3 linked regions of the Saccharomyces cerevisiae S288C genome follow. The gene in region 2 interacts genetically with the main gene of each other region. Each region holds a gene or a part of one and is shown on either strand. Other genes may lie near its edges. The genes, in order: ATG20, PAU10 and GIS4.

Evidence for each region.
Region 1: mutations in PAU10 (region 2) and ATG20 together harm fitness more than expected from each alone (negative genetic interaction), as found in Saccharomyces cerevisiae (2 studies listed by BioGRID).
Region 3: mutations in PAU10 (region 2) and GIS4 together harm fitness more than expected from each alone (negative genetic interaction), as found in Saccharomyces cerevisiae (2 studies listed by BioGRID).

What each region holds. Positions count from the first base shown.
Region 1 is NC_001136.10:252,942-265,140, forward strand, and holds ATG20 (Atg20p), read right to left. Parts: upstream 5,615-12,199; coding exon 3,692-5,614; downstream 1-3,691. Other genes in the region: NUP84 (Nup84p), read left to right, coding at 1-805; IWR1 (Iwr1p), read right to left, coding at 1,054-2,033, 2,104-2,185; YDL114W (short-chain dehydrogenase/reductase), read left to right, coding at 2,663-3,589; TRM3 (tRNA (guanosine(18)-2'-O)-methyltransferase), read left to right, coding at 5,974-10,284; exosome non-catalytic core subunit RRP42, read right to left, coding at 10,372-11,169; TMA17 (Tma17p), read right to left, coding at 11,571-12,023. UniProt on the Saccharomyces cerevisiae protein: Required for cytoplasm to vacuole transport (Cvt), pexophagy and mitophagy. Also involved in endoplasmic reticulum-specific autophagic process and is essential for the survival of cells subjected to severe ER stress.
Region 2 is NC_001136.10:1,521,151-1,530,666, reverse strand, and holds PAU10 (seripauperin PAU10), read right to left. Parts: upstream 7,419-9,516; coding exon 7,056-7,418; downstream 1-7,055. Other genes in the region: YRF1-1 (Y' element ATP-dependent helicase protein 1 copy 1), read right to left, coding at 1-4,346.
Region 3 is NC_001145.3:253,552-260,247, forward strand, and holds GIS4 (Gis4p), read right to left. Parts: upstream 4,866-6,696; coding exon 2,541-4,865; downstream 1-2,540. Other genes in the region: DNA-binding transcription factor YAP1, read left to right, coding at 297-2,249; TRM12 (tRNA(Phe) (4-demethylwyosine(37)-C(7)) aminocarboxypropyltransferase), read left to right, coding at 6,670-6,696.

The sequences.
Region 1 (12,199 bases), 1.3 Mb from region 2:
AAAGCAAATTGAGACAATAAACTTTCTAAGATTACCTGCCTCAAATATTTTGAGAAGAACCACACAGCGTGTTTTCGATGAAACCGAACAAGAATATTCACCATCTAACGAAATTTCCATATCTTTCGATGTAAACAACATTGATATGCACTTAATATATGGCGTGGAATGGCTTATTGAAGGGAAGCTTTATGTGGACGCTGTCCACTCTATCATTGCCTTATCGAGGAGATTTTTGTTAAATGGCCGCGTAAAGGCTCTCGAACAATTTATGGAGAGAAATAATATTGGAGAAATATGCAAGAATTATGAATTAGAGAAAATAGCCGATAACATATCAAAGGATGAAAATGAAGATCAGTTTTTGGAAGAAATAACTCAATATGAGCATTTGATAAAGGGCATAAGAGAATATGAAGAATGGCAAAAATCCGTTAGCTTGTTAAGCTCTGAATCGAACATTCCTACTTTAATAGAGAAATTGCAAGGTTTTTCAAAGGATACATTTGAATTGATCAAGACATTTTTAGTAGATTTAACTTCCTCTAATTTCGCGGATTCGGCAGATTATGAAATCCTGTATGAGATTAGAGCCCTATATACTCCATTTCTACTGATGGAATTGCATAAAAAGTTAGTGGAAGCCGCAAAGTTGTTAAAGATCCCAAAATTTATTTCGGAAGCCCTGGCATTTACCTCATTGGTCGCTAATGAGAACGACAAGATTTATTTATTATTCCAATCTAGTGGAAAGTTAAAAGAGTATCTGGATCTCGTTGCTCGCACAGCAACCCTTTCGAACTGATCAATTAATGTATTGCAGAATAAGTTTATATTTTAAGTAAACAGCAATAATTTTATGCATTTCTTCTATCTATTTCAGAAGTAATTGACGTGATTTTTTATAGTTTTGCTTTGAATCTTTGTGTTTCCACACCGGAGAAAAAAAAGTTCATGAAGTGAAAAAGCGGTTAAACATGAATTTTCTACTATCTAAAGATAAAATTACAGATGCAGTTACTTACATACATTGAACAGTTTCTGACGGCAAATTTAGCTTCTATTAATTTTTTTCTGTAGCTGATGAAAAATTCTGTCCCTATGATGCGCCAATGGGTCATCAACATCCGTCGGAAAAAATTCATTTCTAGGGTATTCAATATCATCTCCTTCATCAGAATCATCTTCGTTATCACTTATCTCTATTTCACCTTCTTGGCCATCCAAGTCAATGAAATTCGAGGAATTTATGGATTTCAAGACATCACTTTTTCCTCCAAGCCTGTTAAAAAGATCCCCGTACTCTTCCTCCACATCGTGGTACCCATTAGATCCCTGAATTTTATCGTCATTCCAAGAGGAAAACCTGCTCTTATTAACCCCTATAACAATCTCTTCACCCAATGCAGCTATATCCTCTCCTTCGCTACCAAATAGAATAGATCTATCATCATCTTCATCCTCCGGATAATCATTTTGGTAATAGTTTTCGTCATTAGAATCCTCATCGTCTGAACGGGCTTCATTGGGATCACTTTCTTCATCAAGAGCCAAATCTATATGCTCAATAATTTTCACAAACCCTATATTTTTCTCGTTGTTATATCTAGCAACCTCATCGTCATGAATTTTCTCCAAATGGTAGATGTCAAAAACGTAATCTAAACTGGGTAGTGATGCAATTTTTGCAGAATCCCCAGTAAAATATTTCCTACTTGGTTTTTTTCTTTCTGTCTTTTCTACACCTTTATTCAACTTTAAATAGTCATTCACCATTTGATTGATCTCTGGCGGTAACCCATCGTCATCTACAGTACTTCCTTCTGCTGCAAGCCGCTGTTGTGATTTTTCATCATCTGAGTCTCTACGACTTTTTTTTCTTTGTTCCAATACAAAATGTCGATGATCTTCATGAGCCAGTTTTAAGAGTGGCGTAGAAGACTCTTGCTCGGATTGATAGCTTTCAGAGCTCACAGTCTTTGATAATTTAAATATGAACTTCTGCTTCTTCACTCTTTTCCCCTCATCAATTACTGAATTGTCCCAGATGAACTTAGTTAGTCAAACGCATTTTTGTTATATCGGTAGAATAACAACACATACATAATGCCTGCACAGAATCCTCATCCCTTCTTCTCTTTACTCTGATAAACTCAGGTGCCGTTGTGGTACTAATAGTGCTCATTCCCGAAATCTTGTATGCCTACCTCAACAAAAGCTATACCTCAGAGAGCAGTTTTATATACCATCTCTTGTTCTCATCAATAACTTGTCTTGAGCATTACACAATTTAAATCCCCTGTGCCGACACAAACAAGAGATAACCCGGAATCAATATTATCTGATTGGGCTCCTAAATATCGCATCTGTGGACTTGAATCCACATGCTGCGAACTTATTTGAAGCAACAATTACTTCTGTTGGAAGCGTGGTAGTGCCAAATCAGACTTGCTCTTTAGTTTTCTTATGTTAACGCTTTACTGCCTTTTTCTTCTATATTTTTGAACGTCAATATGTAGCGGGCGTCAGCAGAGGAACAGAATTTGTGACACTTCTTGAATGAACATTTCTCATATCTGAAACCGCATCATCAAAAGGACACCTCAATAGAGATTCAGTGACATATTTAACATAGTTTTATGGGTAAGAAATATTATTAATTATGGTACGCAAGAATAAAATAAATAGAGCGAGTGGAACTACAAAACACCTCAAGGATTTTCCATCAGTCATCCTAAGTCTGCCCAGCTACAACCCTTCCATCCTTTCTAAAAATGCAACTGCACTAATAACCGGTGGTTCTAGTGGACTCGGATTTGAACTTGCAAAGGAACTTTCCAGAAGAATTAATAAAGTTATTGTGGCAGATATTCAATCATTTCCTACTTTTGCTCAGGTAGAATATAATAACATTTTCTACTATCAATGCGACATAACAAGTCTAGATGAAATTAAAAATTTGAAAAAAGCTATTGAAAGAGATCATGGCAACATTAATATAATTATAAATAATGCTGGTGTTGCTCACATCAAAAAGTTAGAACATATGACAAACAAGGAGGTAGAACAATTGATCGACATAAACTTAATAGGTGCTTACCGAATCATCAGTACATTTGCAGAAGATATGATAGACAATAGGGAAGGCTTTATAATTAACATTGCTTCAGTCCTCGGAGAACTGACTCCTGCAAGGCTGACATCGTATGGTGCATCAAAAGGAGCAATGATTGGTTTTCACAAGTGTATGAGCAGGCATTTCAGAAGTTTGTCCACGGAATGTAATAAAACTGGAATAAAAACACTACTGGTGTGCCCGGGAAAAATCAAAACTAATATGTTTATTGATGTCCCTACACCATCTAAGTTATTGGCTCCTGACATCATACCTTCCCAACTGGCACTAGCGATAATCTCTGCGATGGAGCATAATCATCTGCAAACACTAAATGCCCCATATTATGTGAACCTAGTTCCCTTTTTCAAAACTTTGAGTTGGCCATATAGGCATCTCTTAAAACATTTCAGTGGAATGGACCATGTAACGTCAACCAGCCCGCGAGCAATAAATCCGAAGAGAAGTGCATAATATTTTAGTCTATTTAATACATTTGACGTTATTTGATCTTCACGTTGTTTATATATATATATATCAAGTATGCTATAACGCTAAAAAAAAATGCTCATAATACTATGCAAAATCTTGATGTCTTTTGACTTCTTTCCAAATTTCTAAATTTTGACGGGCATAATTTCTCATATATCTGGAATAATGCTTTAAAATTTCTGATAAATCTACTTCCCTTTCTTTAGAAAATTTAGGTAGCTGGTCATTTTTGATGACTTTTGAAATGACCTCCAAATCATTCTCAGTAACTTCCAATGATTCAGACAGTTGTTCAATTTCTTTCTTCAAATTGATACTTGCGGTATGCGGATCTGTTTCTTGATACTTCACAGAATCTTTTACCATTGATGCCAATTTGTTAAATCCATTGAATAGTTTGCCACCATATGATTTCCCACCGCTACCTGTATTATTATTAGGGCGTTCCAGATTAATAGTATGACTTTTAGACATTTCGTTGTCAATTATTTTGTCAACATCCTTATATTCATTGTTTTGCGCTTCCAGCTTCTCCAACTGTGCTCTTTTGGAATTCAGAGACTTTTTAATCATTTCATTTTGCAGGTATTTCAATTTTCTGTATTTGATCAATTCTCTTGCAGAAGTTGCCATATGAACAGATTCATTTAAAGGCTCATTTATATTGTAGTATAGTCTTCCAACTAATTTTTCTAAAGAAATCGAGGACCCCGAAAAGGCATTGCTTAAGTAAGAAAGCTGTTCGGCCAATTCCCCAACTTGAGCCTGTTCATGGGCAAACTGTGCAAATACCTCACCGATTTCATTGTAATCCGATTTCAAATCGTGATAAGTCTTCGTGGTTCGTCTATTATACTTATAAATCCCGTTATCTAACAAGTTCTCATATTGCTTGTAATCCTGTTCAATATTAGTAAACGACTTACTTCTTTCCTTATCCATTTTTTTGTCGTTGGACTCCTTATTCAACAATAACTGTGACGAGGAGCCCGGTATTGGTAACATGGCATGAATTCTAGTGGTGTTAGTGGGATCTAGTGGATTACACTGGAGGATGCTCTTCGGTAAAGATGAAAAAGTGGACGAACTGTTAACAAATTCATGCCAATTATGGTTATTAGGATCCAAAAAATCGGTAATTATAGATGTTTTTGTGATTTCTTCGTTCGTCAAAAGTTTGTTCAAGAACTCAGTGAGCATTCTTATCCTATGCCGTATTAACTTTTCATCACTATTATTGACCGACGCATGTATCACAGACAATGATAGATCTACTGAACCAGAACCTTCTGAGGGCAGCAAATACTTTGAACTCGAACCAGTTATTGACTTACCATAATTCTTTATTGACTGCTTTTCTGGAATCGGCGGTATCAACGTCATAGGAAACAATCTTATCAAGATACTTCTCAAACTCTCGAAATCGCTGTAACGTCTCTGAACGGTAGAATTTTCAAACTGAATAACATAGGCGATGTAGGCTCTTCCTTGACCTTCGGAAACTCTTTTCGCTTCAAGTATGTGTATCCTAGCGGACTTCTTTCTATTACTTACAGAAGGTTCTTCTGACGCAGAGGTCTCTCCGTTCATGGAGTTAATACTTCCACTAAGACTTGTTCTACATGTTTCTGCATTCGATTCTTGGTTTAAAGGCAATAATCCCTCAGAGTCATCCTCGTAATCTTCATTCGGGTTCTTTAGGTTATGGCTTCTCATACCGGGTATTTCTAATAAAGCTGATTTTGTGAATCCTGTTGGCCCCTCCTCCATGAATGGGTTGTCTTTTTCTAACAGGGCTGTGTGTACTAACTCAGTTTCTACTTTGTTATTGTCCCCCTTTCCAACCTTACCCTTTTTTGGGCTCTTTTTTGGCGATCCAACTCCATTCTTAGAAATTTCTGCCTCTGCCACATACTCAGTTGTCCCATGAGGTGGTTCAGCCTTTCCTGTATTCCGAGTTTCCGAATTCAATTTAGCATTTTCTTGGACATCATTTAAGTCTGACATTGTGTGCTGTAGAAGACAACTTTTCTAGATGGTATGTTCAATTGCACCACCAGTATTCGAGCTAGTCATCTCTTCATTTTGGAGATGACTTGCTGTAAATCGATAAATATTGGCTTACTCAATAGCCATATCTTAAAGGGGGCACAATGGGTGAGTTGTCGGGTAAGGGAATGTAGATCACGTGAATGAAAATTCAAGTGTTTTTCGAAAAGTTTCACCATGGCGATGAGCAAGATTGAAACAGCACTATTGTAACTATATAATTGCTAGTAAGCAAATAAGCCAAGCCTTATTAAAATCCGGTGAAAAGAATTGTTTAACGAACGTTACAAACTCTATACCTTTTTTTTACCAGCAAAATGGTTGGAGGTGCTCTCATCTGCAAATATTTACCACGCGAAGAGCAACTAAAGCTTATATCAGACTTGATTCAGAATGACAGCTTAGAAGAGGTGCTGGAGTTGATTGAAACTTCGCCACTGGATATAACGACGGACAGCAACATTGAAACACCAATCTTTGAAAAAATTACTGAGCAGGTCATTGCGTATGCTAGTATAGACGGTGAAGCCAGGGAAATGTTTCGCTCTTCGAGGGCTGAAATGAACAAGGCGCTAAGAACTTCTGCACAATTACTATGTTGTTTACCCAGTGTATGGCATAAATTTCAGGTGTGGATGAGCTACCGGTTAAATGACATCATTAGCGAAAACTATAAACATCTCTTCAATGACAACTTTGGAAAAAAGATTGTACAACCATTTTTCGATTCTTTTGCTGAGGAACAAAACGCTAATATCAAGCATGAAAATCTGCACTTAGATATCCTTAGCCTGCTTCACTACTTAGAAGTTGTATATTTATTTGACGAATGTAAGAATGGTATATCGTCCAAATGCCTAGATTTTATCATTGTTCCATTGTTAGGCTGTAATTCGGAAGAGATTGCTGATTCCTGCTCCAAGTTAATGAGATGGCATATCAAATATTTATCGAAATGCTGCAATACCGATAGTAACTTTGATAAGCTCATTTGGACATTTATCAAACAATTGTACGCTGAAGGCTCCCAACAAGCTTGGAAGCAAAAGAACAGTTTATCTTTTCTCCTAAGATTCCTTTTAGCAGCAGAGTTGTCTCCTGAACTTATTACTTATATAAAGACCGATGCTTATTGGAGGCACATTCAAACAGAGCTGGATAATGATGTGCACGAACACAGAAAATTGGCACTCTCAATTCTTAAATTAACAATTCAAAAACTGTCATCTCATGGTATAACATTGCAAACAACATTTTATAAATGCAATGATCTAGCAAATATCGAGATGCTGGGTAGCTGGAAGAAATTCACCACCTTATATGAAATGATTGCTCTGGACACATCATTGAATCAAATACAAGCGGCCAAACAAGATATAATAAAAATTTTTGATAACGAGCATTTACACCATAGTTGGGGCCTTATCTTGCTTTCTACGGGATTGAAATCATCAATGGAGAGTGTCAGAAAATACATGATGACGTTAATGTTCTCGATTACAAATATGTCAGCATTCTCTTCAAACTTGCCATTATTGACAAAAACTCTTCTTCCAGCTGCAATGTCCGCTCATTATTTTGATGTAAAAGGTGTCAGTTGTCCCCATGGTGAAAAACTTTCATTATTTGTCAATAACTTACTTTCCCAAACAACAGAAGGCATATCAGATATATTATTTGAAATTTTGAAATTATTGGTGGAAAAAGGGACCTCTTTTGACCCTTCTAGGATATACTTGTCCTACGGTATCTTAGTTTTCTTCCAGAATAACAAACAGAAAACAATCAACTCTGACCATTTGAGTCTGATCAGGAAATTGTACGATTTTGCAGCCGAAGAAGAGGTTCTCGAAACTACAATCCAAACAATTTACTTGAAGTTCTTACTGTACATTGATCCATCTGTCTCCGCATCTGAATTATTGTTTACATTAGTTTCACACATTAAGTTAAAGGGAGGGACATACAAATATGTTGAGCCTCTTTTTGAAGATTATAGGGATCTTGCCGTTTCTCACTTTGACGATTTGCAAGCGAAAGAAAACTTGACGACAAACATCGGAAAGGATACTATTTTTGACCTCTTAGCATCTATCATCTTCGATTTCAAGGATATTGATATTACTCCCGATTTTTTAATTGAAGTTGCGAAGTCGAAGCAAGATATACCCGTTTACACTTCAAAGGCAGTTACTTTTCTAACTCAGCTACTTTCAGGCGAACCTTCGAACGGTTATACCTATGAAAATGCAACCGCTTTGTTGTCTTACCCAAATTTTACAATATCTACATGGAAATCCATCAATGTGAATAATTTATTTAAGTCGGTAATGGAAAAATTTTCGCTTGATAAATTCAAGTTCTTTGCTGAAATTTACCAGAAGACTTATGAATGTAGGTTCGATACAATCGAGCTAAATTTTAATGACCTTCTGAGCCTATATGAAATGGTTAAAAAGTCTGCCAATCAGTGTTCAAGAGAGAGCTTTAAAGTGAAGGACAGCGCTTATTCTTCTTACTTTGAACTTTTAAATACCTTCCTGAAAACATACGCCTTAAATCGTGACTCTTCTGAAGGAAATGATGATGAGCTTCACATACTACTACGCTTAGTTGACGAGAATATTAACAAAGATAATGGGAATTATCTGGGGAACCTGGCAGTCTGTAAATTATTGTACTTTATCATAGATTCCTACATCCATTGCTCCACATCTGTTTCTGATGATGATATTTTCATAGTGAAATTCATTTTTGAGAAATTTTCGTTTATATGGGAATGTATTAATAGTGAAAGATTAGTTTTGAAGGAAAGGGATCTGCATTTGATGCTAATTAAGGGATTATTTCATCCTGTGATCCTGTACTTTGGATCAAATCAGTATATCGATACTTTGACCTCGAAGTTGGAGGAACATGCACAAACGATTATATCATTGAGTTATTCCAGAAGAAGCCTACTCCCTCTTCTCGGATCACAACTCAGAGTATTTATGAAGTTTTATGGGAAATTGTTAAGAGAAGATGTCAACTATTGGTGGTTGATTAACATTATAGTAGGTGTTTTCAAACAGCCGCAAATGGATGTCAACCTTTACAAGCTCAAACCTGTTATTTCCAGCCTATTTGACCACAAACTGAACAATTATTACATAAAAGGCGATGAACTTTATGAAAAGGTGTACGGACCCGACGAAATATTGGCTAGAGTATCTATTATTGATTCTATTTTATATGCAAATGATCAGTTGAAAATTCGATTAATCGAAAAAGTTACTGAAAAAACAAACGCACTTTATGCTATAAAGAGAACCGACGGTGCCGAAGCGTTACAGAGGTTGTTGCAGTGGCAATTGTTATTATTATCACTACTAACCACCAATGAAAAAAAATTAAGCGAAACTAGCATGATCAGAATTCTAAAGAGTATCGAGGATGAAAGTTCACCACTAGTAAGAGTATATAAAGAATGGTTCATTTCCTCAAAGGTTGTTGATTATTATAAAACTGGCAATCCAAAATTTGCTGAGGATTATCTCTTCTCATTGCTGGAGGATCATAGCAAACCGGTGTTTGTAGTTAGCGCAGAAAAAATATGCTTTATGGTGTTGAAAGATTTAAGAAACGACGAAAAGAAATATGGATTTACACAGTTACTAGACAGATTCATTTGCACGTTAGTTCCTAACGCAGCTTCAAACAAACCTCTGGTAAGGCATTTTTCTAATTCTCTAATAATTTCATTATGGCCTACATTCAAAGCCTACCTATCGGATCACACACTGAGAAACATCATTGAGAACTTATATTCCAATGCCAAAAAGACTCAAATATTTGGTCAATATCGTGCCGGGGATGCCAACATATGGGATCTGAAGGGTGATAGGAAATTAACGAACATGTTTGGTGGTGTGCTCAAAAAAGTTACCGACCATGATTGCCCGTACATTTCTGAGTCTGTTTTCGAAAAATATTTGCAGGAGAAAGATATTGTTCCTATAGGTACCGATGAAAGGTCCTTATGGCTTGATAAAAGAGACACCAATACGGAATCTGTTAACAACGCGAACATCTCCTGTGACACTTCTCCACTGCAAACAAAAAGTGGAGCTTGGGAAACCGTTCTGGATCTGGACAATAAAAAATCGAATGATGTCGTTACACGTTCTGAATTGATTGTGGTATCTTCATTAGTTGATAAGCCGCCAAACCTGGGAGGTATTTGTAGGTTATGTGATGTTTTAGGTGTGGGACTGCTTACTGTACAAGACATCAAAGTCAAAAACCATCCTCAATTTAAAAATGTTGCTGTGACTGCTGATAGATGGATGCCCATGGAGGAAGTTGCCCTAGATGAGATTGCAAGTTTCATGAAAGAGAAAAAGAAGGAAGGGTACACATTAATTGGGCTAGAGCAAACGGATAAATCAGTGAAGCTAGACAACAATTTCCAATTCCCTAAAAAATCATTGATCTTGCTAGGAACCGAAGCATTCGGTATTCCGGGGACTTTGTTAAGCGAATTGGATTTATGTTTAGAGATTCAACAATTTGGTGTGATCAGATCAATGAATATTCAAACGGCAACCGCAGTTATCGTTCATTCCTATACAGTTCAACACATGTAAGAATCAGGTTTCATTCCCACTTTTGTTAACCATGAAGTTTTTAGTATGTAAACTAATTTGTCTTTTTATCTAATTGTGACTATATTTTTATAAATTCTCCAGTGATCGTACTACGTCGGGGGCGTATTTCTCCACCATTGCAAGACCTTGCTTCAACAAATGAGGTTTAAAGCTTTTAACGTTTGAATCATTCAATGCTACTGATCTGATAGGTGATGTAATCTTACCATTAGACCAGGAAATGATTAGGCCATTATTGGCCACTTCGCTTTCGTTGGCTGCAGGGTCCAATAGCATATTGTTGCCTACAACGGCCAATATAAACACTAAAGGCGGATTAATGTCAAGCTTAACCATGTCGTAATCATGAAACGTAGGAAGTTCTTCCACCTCTAAGTCGTCAAAAGCTGAAATAAGTTTCGGTAGGTATGTGGAGTTCAACGCTGAATAAATAGCAAAGGATATTAAAGAAACTGGGTGTGAATGTGATGAAATGACCAGAACATCGACAAATATTTTGAAGCTGTACTTTTTTGTCAATTGCAACTTTGAGGAATCTACTCCGCTACCAGACTTCAAAACCTTGTTCAGTAAAGAAGTGATTGTCTCTACTACCAGCGCGTCATCTCTTTGGCCTGCGATATCTACATCGACCTGAAGTAGTTCATTCTCCACATGATGATCCACAACTTTGGACTTAATGCTCACGATACATTCACTTCCATCACTAGCTATAATTCTGGACGATCCATTGGAACTTGGTAGGAAGTCAGTAAATATTTCTATAGGTCTGAATTGATGAGGTAGTCTTCCATCGGGCCTAATTGAAGGCGTGCTTGCTAGTGAATCGTATAGGTACGACTTTTCGGCGACCGAAAGAGACATAAATGATTATTTCAACAGAATCTCAAACTGTCGTTGTGCTAGTCAAAAAGAATGCCTTTTGCCGTCTACAGACTATTAGTATCATTGTACTCCTTCACCATATAAGCTCTACGTTTCTTTTTTCTGAATATTAGAAAAAAATTTCGCCAACTAGGGTTCAAAATAATAGACTAGGGCACGGAAGAAAAGCACACCCTAGGGCTTTCGGAGATAAATTATTAATAGCGAGTTTTTTTTGTATTTACTTATTTTATTATTTCTTTAAGATATCTAGTAGTAAGGATAGAACGGGTAGATAGAATAGACAAATGGAGTTATTGAAATATTTATACGAAGAGATAGAACAGAGAGACAAAGAGTATGACGTGAAAATGATGCGCAGTAAAACTAAATCCCGTCTCTTAAATGAATATGCTGTTTGGTGTCACGACGTCCACATTTGAATTGTCCATGTCAACGTCAGGGCCCTTGTTGGTGTTGTCCTTTGCCTCTACCTCGTGCTTACTCTTGCCATGGCCCGTCTTTCTATATACCGTTTCTTGCTCCAATGCGTCCACTCTCTCATTGTAATTGTTTAGCACAATTTCGTTCTCCCTGACAGAGTCCTTGTACAGCGCCAGGTCTCCCGAATCAATGTTCTCCAAGTCGTCGCTGTCGTCAGCTTCAAGACGGTCGTCAGCACCCTCCAACTTAGCTATGTATTTACCCAAGCGGGCGTTAGACCTCTGCAAATGATTGATACTGTTCTCAATTTCTGTTTTAATCTGTGCCAACTCCATGTCGGACATGCCGCTTATCGCCGTCTTAAATTCTTCGATCTGGATTGGTCTTCTGATACCGCCTGCTGAGCACATTATGTTACTTGTAGTAGTTATTATGTTTTGATTTGCTTTATGTTTTATAAAGATCTTACCCCTCTTTTTGTCAAGAGAAATAAGCTTCTGAAGTATTGTTTTCCTGGTGAAAAGTGTCTTATTTATATGGAGAAGGGATATTCGGCCTCGGTTTTAGGGGAGGAGCTGAAGAGTTG
Region 2 (9,516 bases):
TTCTCGGAAGTATTGGGAAATTGTGCTTTCAGTTTCTTTCTCTCTAGCAAAACCATTTGACTCCCTTTCCGCTTATACGACTCTTTGTTAATGTCGGTGACTGGATGGAATCTATTATCCTCAGCATTGCCATCTTTATTGGCGTCCTCCTTGGCACTAGCGTTGGTACTTTCAGTGGTAGTGGCATTAGTGCTGGAGTTGGTGCTAGCAGTGGTAGTGGCATTAGTGCTGGAGTTGGTGCTAGCAGTGGTAGTAGCACTAGTGTTGGAGTCGGTACTTTCGGTGGTAGTAGCACTAGTGTTGGAGTCGGTACTTTCGGTGGTAGTAGCACTAGTGTTGGAGTTGGTACTTTCAGTGGTAGTCGCACTAGTCCTGACGTTGATGCTGGCAGTGGTAGTAGCACTAGTCCTGACGTTGGTGCTGGCAGTGGTAGTAGCATTAGTGCTGGAGTTGGTACTTTCAGTGGTAATCGCACTAGTCCTGACGTTGATGCTGGCAGTGGTAGTAGCACTAGTCCTGACGTTGGTGCTGGCAGTGGTAGTAGCATTAGTGCTGGAGTTGGTAGTCGCATTGGTACTGGCATTAGCACTACCATGAATGCACGTGTCGCTGTCCTCATCACTGCTGCAATACTTTCTGCACCTGTCACTGCTATTGCTCTCCTGGAAGCTAGACGGTAACGCAATGATCGACATGGAAGCTGTCGCCTGTTTTTCAGCCAATCTGTCCATTCTTTCTATCAGTTCCACTGTGTCAGCAGACAGGTCTGTCCTGGAGCCACAGCATCCAACATGCTGGCCCTTTTTTCCTTTCTTTGATTCAAGTCCATAGAACTCGCGTACCTGTTCGGTTATACAGCCTTCCTTAATCGGTGGTAATTCACCCTTACGATTCCTTGCCGCCCAACTGTTTTTTCTAGATAATAGATAACAGAGGCCCCCATCTCTTAGTCTCCCTACGCCTTGAATGAGCTCAATAATATTAAGTCTATTATCAAGCATGATCACCATCATCAATTGCTTAATGTCAATTCCTTCAGTCACTAATTTCGTTCCGATGAGAACTCGCATGCTACCGTCAGTGACAAACTCCTTTGTGCGAGACACCTTTTCTGCAGCACCCAGCTTCCCGTGTATCCATACCACCCTAAAATACTTTCTCCAAGAGCAGGCCAATTCTTCCACTTCGTTGGTTGTGCTTGCAACTACAATGGCCTTCGACTCTGGTTCAATTTCAAAGAGGGCTAAAAGAAGCTTCAGTGCTTCTTCGGGCTGTGATTCCACTTTCTTCCAAATTTTATGAACATGCCCTAAAGGCACCTCGGATTTCTCCTTGATTAGATTAAACATCCGTGTTGGATAGCTGGATAGACCTCTGCTGAGATCTTCCGACCGTTTGAGCTCGTTGATGTCCATCGACTTCTTGGCCAGTCCCGTAAGCCCAATACGCTGCAACGCAGCATCAGCTACAGCCTCAGGTGCTGTGCCGCTCAAAAAGATTGCTTTCTCAAAAGCGTCAAAATCAAGGTTAGTTATGCCCCCAAATTGCGACTGCCGGTAGACCTCCGTTTCAAAGTTGTGAAACTCATCTACAATGAGGTAACCCAATTTTACGTTGTTGGTCCTAAAGGTGCACTCAACAATATTCTCCCACGCAGCTATCCTGTCTGTGAAATTAGTGCTAGCAAGATCATCGTAGATCCCCACGTATAAATCAGTAACGCCATCGCAACCTTCTTCAATAAAGTTTCTTACAGGGGCCACATTCAAGCAACCGCATCGGCTCAACCTGATCATGCAATTAGCAAGCAACACTGTGTACGGTACAAACAGAAACGACACATATTTCACGTCGCCCTTAGACGCCAGTGCTATCAAGGGGAGATGAAATAACTCCGTCTTACCATAGCCCGGTGGGGCCTGTACTGCCACAGAGGGTGTGTCTGCCATGTATATTTCATGACATAAGCGCAACTGATGCAAGTCCCTGAATTCAAAGGAGCTGCCAAAGAGTTTCTGGCCTGCGACGAGGATATCGTTTGTACTCTTGGGCTCTCGGGGCCTTTTTCGCGTTACTCTTGAAATTTTTTGATCATGATCTGAACTCGCCGCCTCACCTGCCACTACGTCTTCCGCATTCCGAGTACTAGAGAATGAACAATGGTAGTCGCTTTCAAGGCCTAACCATTGAATCCAGCGCTCGGAAGCTCGTTCCTGCAATAAAGTGGCGGTCGTCCCACTGACACTAGTTAACGAAAAGGAATCCACACCGTAAATATTTCGCCCTGTTTGAACGGAATGATTGGCCATGAGTTCACTCGTCGCCGACTCGTACAAATCTGTTTCAAATCTGCTACCTACGCAGTGCCGTCCTAGGGCAATCAACCCCTGACGCATCTCCCGAAAATTCAGCTTCTGAGGTGCATTCTTCGGAAGTTCCCTCATGTACTGCCGAAAAGTTGCGTATTCAACCAGACAGCCCTTCGCGGTATTCAGAAACATGTAGGAATACAAAACTATCCTCGAAATGTCTCGATTTGTTACTTGATCTGGATCCTCAAATCCCACCACATCCATCCAAGGATCATGATTAAAAGCGTCATAACTGTTACCAAGCGCACATATTTGCATTTGCCTTAGCACAGTGACAAAATAAAACACGTAATCTGAAGTGAGTCCGTCAAGCGTCTTAAGTCGAGGCTCCGATGAACCGTTCTTGTTGTAATCAGTGTACAGTTGGATGCGTCTTGTTGTATCATCGACGTATACGTTGCGCTGAGGACCGGCAAAAGCGAGTAGCTGAAGCTCTGGATAACGGTAAGGGTATCCTACGGCAAAATGGACCATCCACATAAGTGGCACCGTAAGCTCGTCAATTGCAACAGTGACTTTATTTTTAAGAGCCGCGGTCATTTTGTTAGTATCTCTTCTCAACTTGGGCAGCACAATTTCACGATATTTAACAGGTATCATTTGAAGAAAAGAATCGTTTTCCAGATACTCGTCAATTCCTCGCTTTGGCTCTCTGAACAAAACTTCTCGATTACGCAAAATGAGGCTGGCAATATCAACCACTGTAGGCATATAAAAGCAGTTGTTCAACTCTCCCCAAAGGTTATCGAACTGAGCCTTGCATGCAAAGTAAAAGCCGCGGACATACTCGCGATTAAAAAGTTTTCCACATACTGATATACCATCAGAAGAAGGTACCAAAGTTATTCTATAAGAGTCCTTCAGCGTGGTTTCCTGCGCTACTTCGTGGTACAGAATTTTGATCCATTTCCACATTGCAACGCCGTTGGTGTCATCAAATATATCTAAATCCCTTGCAGTACAAGCACAAGACGACACCAATAAAGCTTTCACGGCATCTAGTGTTTTTCTGAGTCTTCGTGGAGTGTTAGGACTACGCAACTTACATACTTTCAAGCCATGCTCGTCCACAGAGGGAATAATGGGTTCTTCATTCGTAATAGATCGATCCTCTTCGTCACCAGCGCCACCACGGGGACCCGCCCCGAAATTGAGCGCACATGCTCGCAAGATAATATGCAAAATATCACCCAATCGGTCTTTTTTGTTCATCATATCGTTACATATCTGTGAAAAGTACTTTATCTCAATGGGTTTACGTGGGCATAGATCACGCTTCAGCCGCTCTGTGTCGACTTTCTTTTCGCCAGGTAAACTTGCTTGGTATGCAGAAAAAATCGATAGCTCATCTACGTGTAGTAACAAGAACATGTAGGGTGCCAAATTGTACCCATATTTCCTTATGGTGCTTTTCTGAAGACTCCTTACAATAGGTGCGCCAGAAACAAAGTCAGTGAAAGTACGCATCGTAGAGCTGTCGTTCGGCCTGGCACTCGCTATTTCGTGACAACGTTCCAGGACACGGAAACTCAACTCATTATAGTATCCTCTGTTGAGGTAAAAAAGAGAAAGGGTATCGTAATCCTTTCTATTGAATTTCAAAGTATGCACTTGAAACAACGTGTAGACCATCAAGTTGATTTTCTTGGGAATAAGATACTTTGAAGGGATTGGTCCGCCCTGGAAATCTGGTTCGTCTTCAACAAATGTCAGGAACTTTTGTACATTTTTCCCGACCATGACGGAAATGACAATTTTTTCAAAAGACCTTTTCCTATCCATTGCACCAGTTCTGAATTTTACCACTTTGATTAGGCCAGACTTTTCGTCTTCGTAGAATGACCGCACTTCCGTGGGGATCGATTCAAATAAAGTTATTGAGGGACAATGTACCAAGTCGTTTTTGTTATTTAGAGCCGACTCAAACTCGTCAAAGTTTGCTTTTTCAAACTTACGCCTATCGGAAACTTTCATTTTATTTTTGTAAGTTTCGAAATTAACAATAGTATGTTGATTGTTATGCTTTTTGACAAGAAATCCATCAATATAAACAAAAGATTGTCCAGTTTCCGTCTTATCATCATCTAAGAATGTAATAATTAAGCTACTCTATTGAGAAGAAGCAGAATCTGCGCTATGCAGGTGCAAATCTCCAGCAGCAGCAAAGAAAATTCAGTTAATAAGAAATCTCACTAAGATAAGCGACTGTCTGTCCCAACATAGAAAACAGAAGGATGTCTCATTCATCGCTTGATTTCCGGCCTGCAAAAATAAAGTAGTCGGTACGTACTTTCGTTTTCAATTTCCATGGTGCACAGTATCTTAACTATCTGCTTAGTCGAGGAGAACCAGGATTCTGTTCGTTGCTCAGCCGCTTCGTGGATATTCTCTTGGATACTTTAAATATGGACCTACGCTTAGCCTGCGCTTAGCCTACAACTTCTTCCGCTCTCGAAAAGACCAATATAATAGAAAGTTATAAATTACATTTCCTTATTAGGTATACGACCTCGCGCTTCGAAGTAGAGGAGCCCTTTTTGGCGTACCTACATATGGCGCGTCAGACAGACAAACTTCCCCCAAAAATGTATTACCCCGCCGAATAAGAAAACAGACCCATTCACCCACGACGTATCAAGTTACTTCCTTGGTGCAATGTCCCACTATAAAAAAATTCCTTGACGCTAGATCGTTGGACTAAAATCTGCGTCACAATCGCCTAAACAGGAAATATTGCCTATTTTCGTACAAGGTTACTTCCTAGATGCTATATGTCCCTACGGCCTTGTCTAACACCATCCAGCATGCAATACAGTGACATATATATACACACCACACCACACCCACACACACCACACCACACCCACCACACCCACACCACACCCACACCCACACCACACCCACACACCCACACACCCACACCAGAGAGAAGCCTAAGCCTAAGACTAAGACAAGCCAAGCCTGACCAACCTGTCTCTCAAATTACCCTCCATTACCCTACCTCCCCACTCGTTACCCTGACTCATTCAACTATACCACCCCAACCACCATCCATCTCCCTGTGTACTACCACCAACCGACCGTCCACCATAACCGTTACCCTCCAATTACCCATATCCAACTCCACTACCACTTACCCTACCATCTCCCATCTACTACTCACCATACTATTGTTCTACCCACCACTATTGAAACGCTAACAAATGATCGTAAATAATACACACATACTTACTCTACCACTCTAATCCCACCACCACATGCCATACTCACCTTCACTTGTATACTGATATGCCATACGCACACGGATGCTACAGTATATATCATCTCAAACTTACCCTACTCTCACATTCCACTCCACTCCATGGCCCATCTCTCACTAAATCAGTACAAATGCACTCACATCATTATACACGGCACTTGCCTCAGCGGTCTATACCCTGTGCCATTTACCCATAACGCCCATGATTATCCACATTTTAATATCTATATCTCATTCGGCGGCCCCAAATATTGTAAAACTGCTCTTAATACATACGTTATACCGCTTTTACACCGTATACTAACCACTCAATTTATATACACTTATGCCAATATTACAGAAAAATCACCACCAAAATCACCTAAACATAAAAATATTCTATCCTTCAACAATAATACATAAACATATTGACTTGTGGTAGCAACACTATCATGGTATCACTAACGTAAAAGTTCCTTAATATTGCAATTTGCTTGAACGGATGCCATTTCAGGATATTTCTTACTTACACAGACCTTACATTAGAATACTATGCCACCTCACTGTCGTAACACTCTCTATTCACTGAGCTATAATACGGTAGTGTGTTCACACTCATGCGGGTGCTATGATACAATGGCATCCTATTTCCATTCCCATATGCTAACCGCAATATCCTAAAAGGATAACTGATGCATCTTTAATCTTGTATGTGACACTACTCATACGAAGAGACTATATCTGAACAAGACGATACGGTGATAGGTACGTTGTTTTTGTAGAGTTATAACGAAACTTCAAATAACCCTACTATATTATAACTTATCAGCGGCGTATACTTAAACGGATATTACGATATTGTCTCATCTCACTTCATCTTACCACCCTCTATCTTAGTTTTGGTAGAACACTAACCCCTCAGCTTTATTTCTAGTTACAGTTACAAAAAACTATCCCAAACCATAAATCTTAATATTTTAGGTGTCAAAAAATGAGGATCTCCAAATGAGAGTTTGGTACCATGACTTGTAACTCGCACTGCCCTGATCTGCAGTCTTGTTCTTAGAAGTGACGCATATTCTATACGGCCCGACGCGACGCGCCAAAAAATGAAAAAAGAAGCAGCGACACATTTTTATGGAAAGACAAAGTGCTGCGAAGTCATACGTTTCCAATTTCATTATTGTTTATTGGAAATACTCTGTTAGCTTTATTACCGTCCACGCTTTTTCTACAATAGTGTAAAAGTTTCTTTCTTATGTTCATCGTATTCATAAAATGCTTCACGAACACTGTCATTGATCAAATAGGTTTATAATATTAATATACATTTATATAATCTACGGTATTTATATCATCAAAAAAAAGTAGTTTTTTATTTATTTTATTTTGTTCGTTCATTTTCAATGTCTATGGAAACCCGTTCGTAAAATTGGCGTTTGTCTCTAGTTTGCGATAGTGTAGATACCGACCTTGGATAGAGCACTGGAGATGGCTGGCTTTAATCTGCTGGAGTACCATGGAACACCGGTGATCATTCTGGTCACTTGGTCTGGGGCAATACCAGTCAACATGGTGGTGAAGTCACCGTAGTTGAAAACGGCTTCAGCAACTTCAACTGGGTAGGTTTCCGTTGGGTGGGCGGCTTGGAACATGTAGTATTGGGCCAAGTGAGCTCTGATATCAGAGACGTAGACACCCAATTCAACCAAGTTGACTCTTTCGTCAGATTGAGCTAGAGTGGTGGTTGCGGAAGCAGTAGCAGCGATGGCAGCGACACCAGCGGCGATTGAAGTTAATTTGACCATTGTATTTGTTTTGTTTTTTAGTGCTGATATAAGCCCTACTAGGAAGAAAAAAATGACTGCATATTCACAAAGACAGGCGGTCAAGTCTGCTCTATTTATACAAATTCCTTCACCAGCTGGTGCTGCCCAAACGAGCCACTGACTGACACTCTTTTCTCACCTCAAGATCCTACATATTTCATCTAACACACCTTATCCACCGTAACTATAGAAATGCACCTGTCCTTGAACGATTCGTGAATTCGTCACAAACTTCGTATATGAAGATATGTTTTGCGGCGCCAATGTGTATTCGTATGCGTGCAATGTAAGATCGACGTTATAGGGGCGCCATGTGCCTTCGAAGAACCCTTTTACGTGCCTGTCATATTTCTTTTTCAAGGACCCTCGTTCGGAAGCTATTGTCTTAGCCTATATTAGTATGCTCTAAACGATTGCCGCGGGATAATGTTACAGTTTCTTTTCCCAAGCTGAAGTGAAATAGCAATGATGTACTGAGAGTCGTACCTACCCGTGGAAGCTTACGATGCCGTTCACTATCACTAAGGCATTCGAAATTAGATACCACAATCAAGAATGAATGCGATATATAAACGAGGTAGCTACAGTTAGCTGCACATGTTTCTCGAATAGAGTTAATTGATGTTAGGGTGAATTGAATCATGTGCCAAGGTTTTGTGTAATGAAACATCTTCGATACCCGGGTACCATTTTTCTTGTTAAAAAAAAAAAAGAAAGAAAAGAAAAGAGTACAGAGGCCAGTGGATGGCGCTAATATTTTTTATTTTACGTTTTGAATCTTCTGTTGAATAATTTCATCTATGTGCTTGGTTCTTGCAACTGTTAAACACTTATACCTAGTAAATATTCTGTGGCAGGGGTTGGTAGTGCCTCCTGAATTTATGGGCGCAGTTTAATGCTCAATAACTAGGCAACGCATTTTTTCTGAATCTAAAATGCTATTTAAGTATCGCTCAAAAGAAAACTACAAAATTAGCCCTGTTAAAGAAAAATTCCTCATTCTTGTACATATCCTGCCCAAACAAGCTTCTGTTCTTTCTGTTGGCACTCTCAACGCATTAATCAGCACCACTGCCTTGCTTACCTGTGTTCCATTCTCATATGGAATATCACTAGACTGGAGAATTTCCTCTCGATAGAAAAAAACTGGTTCCACAAGGCAAGGAAGCCTGAGGGTCCGGTGGACCAGTGGAAGTAAGATAGTAGTTAAACAAAATAACATGCAATTAAATATTTTCCTTTAATTTTTAAGTCAGTGTGACCCAATAAGAATAGCTTTAATTTTTTACTTCTTTTGGTACCTAATATTTCTACTTAAAATACTTCCGATGGAGACGCATAACTTGTACTTTTGTCAAGGAAAAGATATAATTAGCACTTGAGCAAGCAATACTATCATTTTTTTTTTTGAGACATTACTTCAAGTTGACTCTTTTGAAACAGATCTTTTCTCCAACTTACTCACGAACATTGCCTAAAAGACAACTAATTTCTCGTCCAAAGCTGATAAAAGATGAATATGGATTCAGCATAAGCGGATTAAAGTAGCAATATCTGCTTAAGTTGACTTCGCTATTACTCTCACGGGTGTAACACTATTCTGTTTCACGAATGGCGCTTACGATTTTTCAAAATTACCTTGGAATGTGTCACGTTGGGCATTTTTAATTATTGTGCTGCATAAAGGTGCCTATTTGGCAAGTTTCTGTGCGAAAAACACTAGTATTGAATGTTTTCGTGATGCTTTATTGACACGTGAGAAGGGAAACTTTTTTTAATACGATAGCACATATATTAACCACATGAAGGCACTTGCATCATCTGCTTAAAGCAGATTAGAGGTCGTATTTCTAACCTTTAAAGGTACATTCTGTTTGAATCATGAATATATGTAGTTGCGTAAGTTGTTTAAGACTCTAGAGCCAACGAATTTCTGCTTTTGAATCATTACGGAATCTTAGAGTGTTATACGACATTATTAAATACAGCAACAATGGCCAGTCGCACAATTTGATTTCTAAGTTACAATAAATGGACTGTAAAAATTCACACAAAAGACTTTCTTGCCCTCCTTCTT
Region 3 (6,696 bases), on a different chromosome or scaffold from region 2:
AACAATTTGGGCCCCGCCAAAGCGCCGTCTTTGTCATGGGAACCGGAAACCCTCCGATGAAGAGTAGGAGGGTGGCAACTGATGGATGCGTAAGGTCTTAAGAGATACATTTGCTTAATAGTCTTCCGTTTACCGATTAAGCACAGTACCTTTACGTTATATATAGGATTGGTGTTTAGCTTTTTTTCCTGAGCCCCTGGTTGACTTGTGCATGAACACGAGCCATTTTTAGTTTGTTTAAGGGAAGTTTTTTGCCACCCAAAACGTTTAAAGAAGGAAAAGTTGTTTCTTAAACCATGAGTGTGTCTACCGCCAAGAGGTCGCTGGATGTCGTTTCTCCGGGTTCATTAGCGGAGTTTGAGGGTTCAAAATCTCGTCACGATGAAATAGAAAATGAACATAGACGTACTGGTACACGTGATGGCGAGGATAGCGAGCAACCGAAGAAGAAGGGTAGCAAAACTAGCAAAAAGCAAGATTTGGATCCTGAAACTAAGCAGAAGAGGACTGCCCAAAATCGGGCCGCTCAAAGAGCTTTTAGGGAACGTAAGGAGAGGAAGATGAAGGAATTGGAGAAGAAGGTACAAAGTTTAGAGAGTATTCAGCAGCAAAATGAAGTGGAAGCTACTTTTTTGAGGGACCAGTTAATCACTCTGGTGAATGAGTTAAAAAAATATAGACCAGAGACAAGAAATGACTCAAAAGTGCTGGAATATTTAGCAAGGCGAGATCCTAATTTGCATTTTTCAAAAAATAACGTTAACCACAGCAATAGCGAGCCAATTGACACACCCAATGATGACATACAAGAAAATGTTAAACAAAAGATGAATTTCACGTTTCAATATCCGCTTGATAACGACAACGACAACGACAACAGTAAAAATGTGGGGAAACAATTACCTTCACCAAATGATCCAAGTCATTCGGCTCCTATGCCTATAAATCAGACACAAAAGAAATTAAGTGACGCTACAGATTCCTCCAGCGCTACTTTGGATTCCCTTTCAAATAGTAACGATGTTCTTAATAACACACCAAACTCCTCCACTTCGATGGATTGGTTAGATAATGTAATATATACTAACAGGTTTGTGTCAGGTGATGATGGCAGCAATAGTAAAACTAAGAATTTAGACAGTAATATGTTTTCTAATGACTTTAATTTTGAAAACCAATTTGATGAACAAGTTTCGGAGTTTTGTTCGAAAATGAACCAGGTATGTGGAACAAGGCAATGTCCCATTCCCAAGAAACCCATCTCGGCTCTTGATAAAGAAGTTTTCGCGTCATCTTCTATACTAAGTTCAAATTCTCCTGCTTTAACAAATACTTGGGAATCACATTCTAATATTACAGATAATACTCCTGCTAATGTCATTGCTACTGATGCTACTAAATATGAAAATTCCTTCTCCGGTTTTGGCCGACTTGGTTTCGATATGAGTGCCAATCATTACGTCGTGAATGATAATAGCACTGGTAGCACTGATAGCACTGGTAGCACTGGCAATAAGAACAAAAAGAACAATAATAATAGCGATGATGTACTCCCATTCATATCCGAGTCACCGTTTGATATGAACCAAGTTACTAATTTTTTTAGTCCGGGATCTACCGGCATCGGCAATAATGCTGCCTCTAACACCAATCCCAGCCTACTGCAAAGCAGCAAAGAGGATATACCTTTTATCAACGCAAATCTGGCTTTCCCAGACGACAATTCAACTAATATTCAATTACAACCTTTCTCTGAATCTCAATCTCAAAATAAGTTTGACTACGACATGTTTTTTAGAGATTCATCGAAGGAAGGTAACAATTTATTTGGAGAGTTTTTAGAGGATGACGATGATGACAAAAAAGCCGCTAATATGTCAGACGATGAGTCAAGTTTAATCAAGAACCAGTTAATTAACGAAGAACCAGAGCTTCCGAAACAATATCTACAATCGGTACCAGGAAATGAAAGCGAAATCTCACAAAAAAATGGCAGTAGTTTACAGAATGCTGACAAAATCAATAATGGCAATGATAACGATAATGATAATGATGTCGTTCCATCTAAGGAAGGCTCTTTACTAAGGTGTTCGGAAATTTGGGATAGAATAACAACACATCCGAAATACTCAGATATTGATGTCGATGGTTTATGTTCCGAGCTAATGGCAAAGGCAAAATGTTCAGAAAGAGGGGTTGTCATCAATGCAGAAGACGTTCAATTAGCTTTGAATAAGCATATGAACTAAAGCGGGAACTTTATGGAAAACTGGGTAACCGAAAGAACTTTTTCTATAATGTTACAATTAAACTTTTTTAACTTACCTTGCTTCGCCTTTTCGCCGAAAGTAGGTAGATTGTATCACCTCGGTATTTTTTTATGTACACAACCTATACTTTAAATATATTTAGACTATGTATGAATTCTCTGTATCACCTTCAATGTCAATATAGAAACTGGTAAGTGCAATAGTACCAATAATGATTATAATTATAATACAAGTATATATATATATCTATATATAGTGGTAAAGTATTCTTTACATGATGGCACAACGCTGAGATTTATCCGTACCTGCAGAACCACTGTTTTTATGATTCTTAAACCTATTCATCTGGAATTTCCAACGCTTTCTATCCTTGTTAGTGGCATGAGTAGGGTTATCTATGCCGCTTAAAGACTTTAGTAATGTAGGTAAAGGCAAACTTTTGGACCTTTCCACGGCACTCATAGCATTGATGGAACTCTTTATCTTTTTCAACTCATTTTTGGAATTACTTTCATTGTTACCCTTGGAATTAGGTTTGTGAGAATTTTTTGTCTTCAAAGAATGGCTAAAATTCGAGGAAGTCGTATTAGAGTTCGACAGTTGTGTCATTGGATGAGGTTCACTTGATAAAACTGTACTTTCACCTGTTTTAGAGTTATCCAACTCGTTACTATTACTTTTATCGATTTTTGTAACAGAATTATGTCTATTGAATGCCCATTCCCCGATACTGTTTACGGTTCTAATAGAACGATGTGCTGTAGTAACGTTAGATTCCATTCTAGTTGGTATGTACATTTGTGGGCCTGACTGTTCTGATAAAGAAGCATCGTCACCATCGTCTTCATCGTCTTCATCGTCAATATAGTCGTTGTAACCGTTATTATATGCAGTCGGGAAATATTGTTGCGGGTCGTTAGTTAATGATAACTCAGAATCTAGAGGTTGCTCTTTTGATATTCCTTCCCTATTATCATAATTGGGATTTTTGAATTCTTCTTCAACCTGTTTGCCGGAGTTTGTCACAATAACCATTGTGTAAAATAAAATTTTTGGAAATGATCTCTTGATATCTAGCAAATCTTGAAGTGTTAGAATTTGTAAATTATTCATTGAAAAATTGGAATCATACAGCAACCAATCATCGGTAACGCTTGCCATTGTAGGTTTATTGTTTGACTGTCTAATCGCAGTAAAAATTTCTTTGGTGTCTGGATCCTGAATTAATATAGATTGCAAAACTAGCCTAAAATACCCTAGAGAATCACAAATTGAGATTGACGGTAGAATGGATAGTACTGAGTAATCGGAAGAAGAAAGATCTTCATCATCATAAACCTCTTCTCCATCGTCCTCTCCTGATCCATACCCTTGGGCGTCATAGTTATGATGAATTAAATTATCCTCCTCCTCTGGGGTTGTCGAAGTAGTTAAATTGTCTATAGAACTCGTTATACTTGACAATTCAGAGACATAGGTGGCATTCGTGTGATCGATGTTTTCACGTTTTGGATTACCTCGGCTGCTACTGCTTAAACTGTAGTGGGCACTACTACTATTACTGCTACTACTATAGCTAGTGTAGCTGACCGAACTTTCCATGCTATAACTTGCTTGATCGATACTCTCGTCACCTAGATCATGTGAGACTCTGCTATAATGATCCTCAACTTCATCCTGACCACTTTCATCCTCGCGCCTGGCAGTAGTTAAACTCAGGTCTTGTCCGGGATATGTGGATGATACGTCTTCGCCAGCAAAACTATCTATTGACATTATCTCGGAATGTGACGGTGTATAGTCTTCATTAGTGTATGATGGAAAAATTTTGGGTAGTCTATTAGGCTTTGAATCTACTGTTCGCGAATGAGAAAAATTTAGGACTATAGAACTTGTGGCATCCTCTTCATCAACTTCGTTTTCATTATCTTGAGGCGTATCATTATTATTGCTTTGACTATTCACGGATGTAACGTTTATATCAACTGTGTCCGGAGATGTCAAAGTCCTCGTATTCGTATTAGTTCGGGTAGCTGTTGAAGTCTGGGTATTTATATTTGACCACTGATCATCCGAAACGTTTGATTCTAGCTTCCCGTTTGAAGCTTTTGATGAAGATATTGTGGGTGGTGGTATTGAATTTCTATTGTTATTGTTTAAAGCCTTGGAATTTTTTTGAACTTGCCAACTTGTACTCGCAAATTCTAAAAAGGTAGGGTCTTGGAAATTGTTGAGGTTGTCCGTCAATAGGTAATGATTTTCATGATTGTAGCAGTGGGAGTGAGTTAATTTTGAGATTTGAATGTGTTCTAATTTTTCCAGATGAAAGTAATCTTTGAGGAAGATTTCCAATATGGAGATATCTTCATGAACATTCTCTGGGATGGAAACTAACAAAATCTTCTTGTTTGGCCTGGCCGAAATATTGTTATCACCATAAAAATGACTATTCAGAAATCTTTTTAACAGAGTGTATTTTAATTGATTGCCTATAAGTTCTTCAAAATCGCCTAATCTGAGGTTTGTTAAGTACCACGACCACAAACCATTGTCATCATTGTCAAAATAGTCGCCCACTCTAACGGATTTTTGCATTATATTTAAGTAACAGAGTGCTTTTTGATGGTTTTTGTTAACCGTCTTTCGAGCAGTTGAAGGATGAGAGTGAGTGTTAATGAGGGGTTATTTCTGCAAAACTTCTGCCGATATATTCTGCACTTAGTTCCCGCTGTTGTTCAGCCTTCACGTTCCTTAGCTACACAAGTCAGTTAAATCTGGTCCTGCCAAAGTGAATAAGTTGAAGATATTTATCTAGCTTGCGATGGAAAAAACTACAATAGGAAAAAAACTAATTAAAAAAAGAAAAAAAAAGAGAAGAATTCAATGTTTAGGGATATAAATTCGATATAAAGGTTTAAAGTAAATAAATTTCGTGTATTACTATGCAAGTAATGTTTCTGCCTGCACCGGCTTCGTAGCTGGTGGAGTGCGATAGCGATGATACTACCTGAAAACACAGAGGAAGGCCGTCAGCCCCGCGCTAGGAACGATGAGGAGAAACCAGTTGGCGAATCGCCACATGCCATTTACGTAAAAGATGCTGTGTAACCTAACAGAAATAATCGATGGTGTGAACTAAAGTCCTAGGATGCACATAAGCAAGCGAAAAAGTGAAAACAACATTTCCAGAGCTAAAAAAATGCATTTGCCGATCCGAAATAATCTCAAAACGAAAAAATGATTATGGACGTAAACAAAATTACCGCATTTCGCTCTCCTATTATCATAACAAGCATGAGCGCAAAACTTAAAAATCCATCAAGAGGCAAAAAATAACGACAACTGCAGGACTCGAACCTGCGCGGGCAAAGCCCAAAAGATTTCTAATCTTTCGCCTTAACCACTCGGCCAAGTTGCCATACTAACTTGATTATTTGTGTATTCTGTTTTCTTGTGATTCCTTCTGGTTACATAATTACATTGTCTATATTCATATTTGATTCTAACAGCAGGTAATATTGGTCTATCGGCTACTCGTTCAAAAAATTAAAATCGTTATCAATTATATTCCATAGTATAGGTTGTTAAAAGATGGAATTAATTAAAGTAGAGTAGTAGAACAGGGATCACAGTGTTATTAGATTTTGGAGCAACTGATGTGTGTGAGTAATATATAAGGATGAATCGAATGAAAGTATTATGAGAAAAGGAATCATCGTTGTGTAAAGTTGTTCATTTCGTATTTCTGGGTACTGTGAATGAGATGAACTTGCTGATAATCGTTGGCATACTATTATTTGGAACGGTAATATTTTTGCGAATACAAAGTATACTGTAGTTTTTCCCCGAGGATTTACGAACCCACGAGAAGTGATCAATATTTCTACACAGTAGCATTATGATCTCTCTTTATTCGCTTATGTGTCGCCATTCACTACCCTATCATAATTCGGATCCTTGTGTTTCAGCTCCCATTAAGTTTGACGACCGTTCGTCATTTATTTATATTCTTACACCGTACACGATAATATACTTATGCGAACTCTAGTCGGTCGATGGTGATTAATTTTCATTTCAATATTTACTTATATCGGCGATAAGTCTTAAGCATGGAATTTATAGTCATTCTGTCACCCCTCCGAAACAGAAATGAATTTGTAAATGTATTCACTAAGTTTAGCCGTTTTAGACATTTGAATGTCGTTCGTCATCAGCGCGGCCAATATTGTTTACATGAAGAAAATGTTGTTAATATAGGCACTCTATTTGGTTTCATTATGAGAAGTATCTTGCTGCTTGATGTCTTCGCACTTTTTTTTTCCAGATTTTTCAGGTGATGAGGTGGAGCTGGAGGATTTTACAATATTACTCAAATAATTTGTAGACAACGTTAGCGTGAATGAGTGACGAAACCATGCCTGTAGAA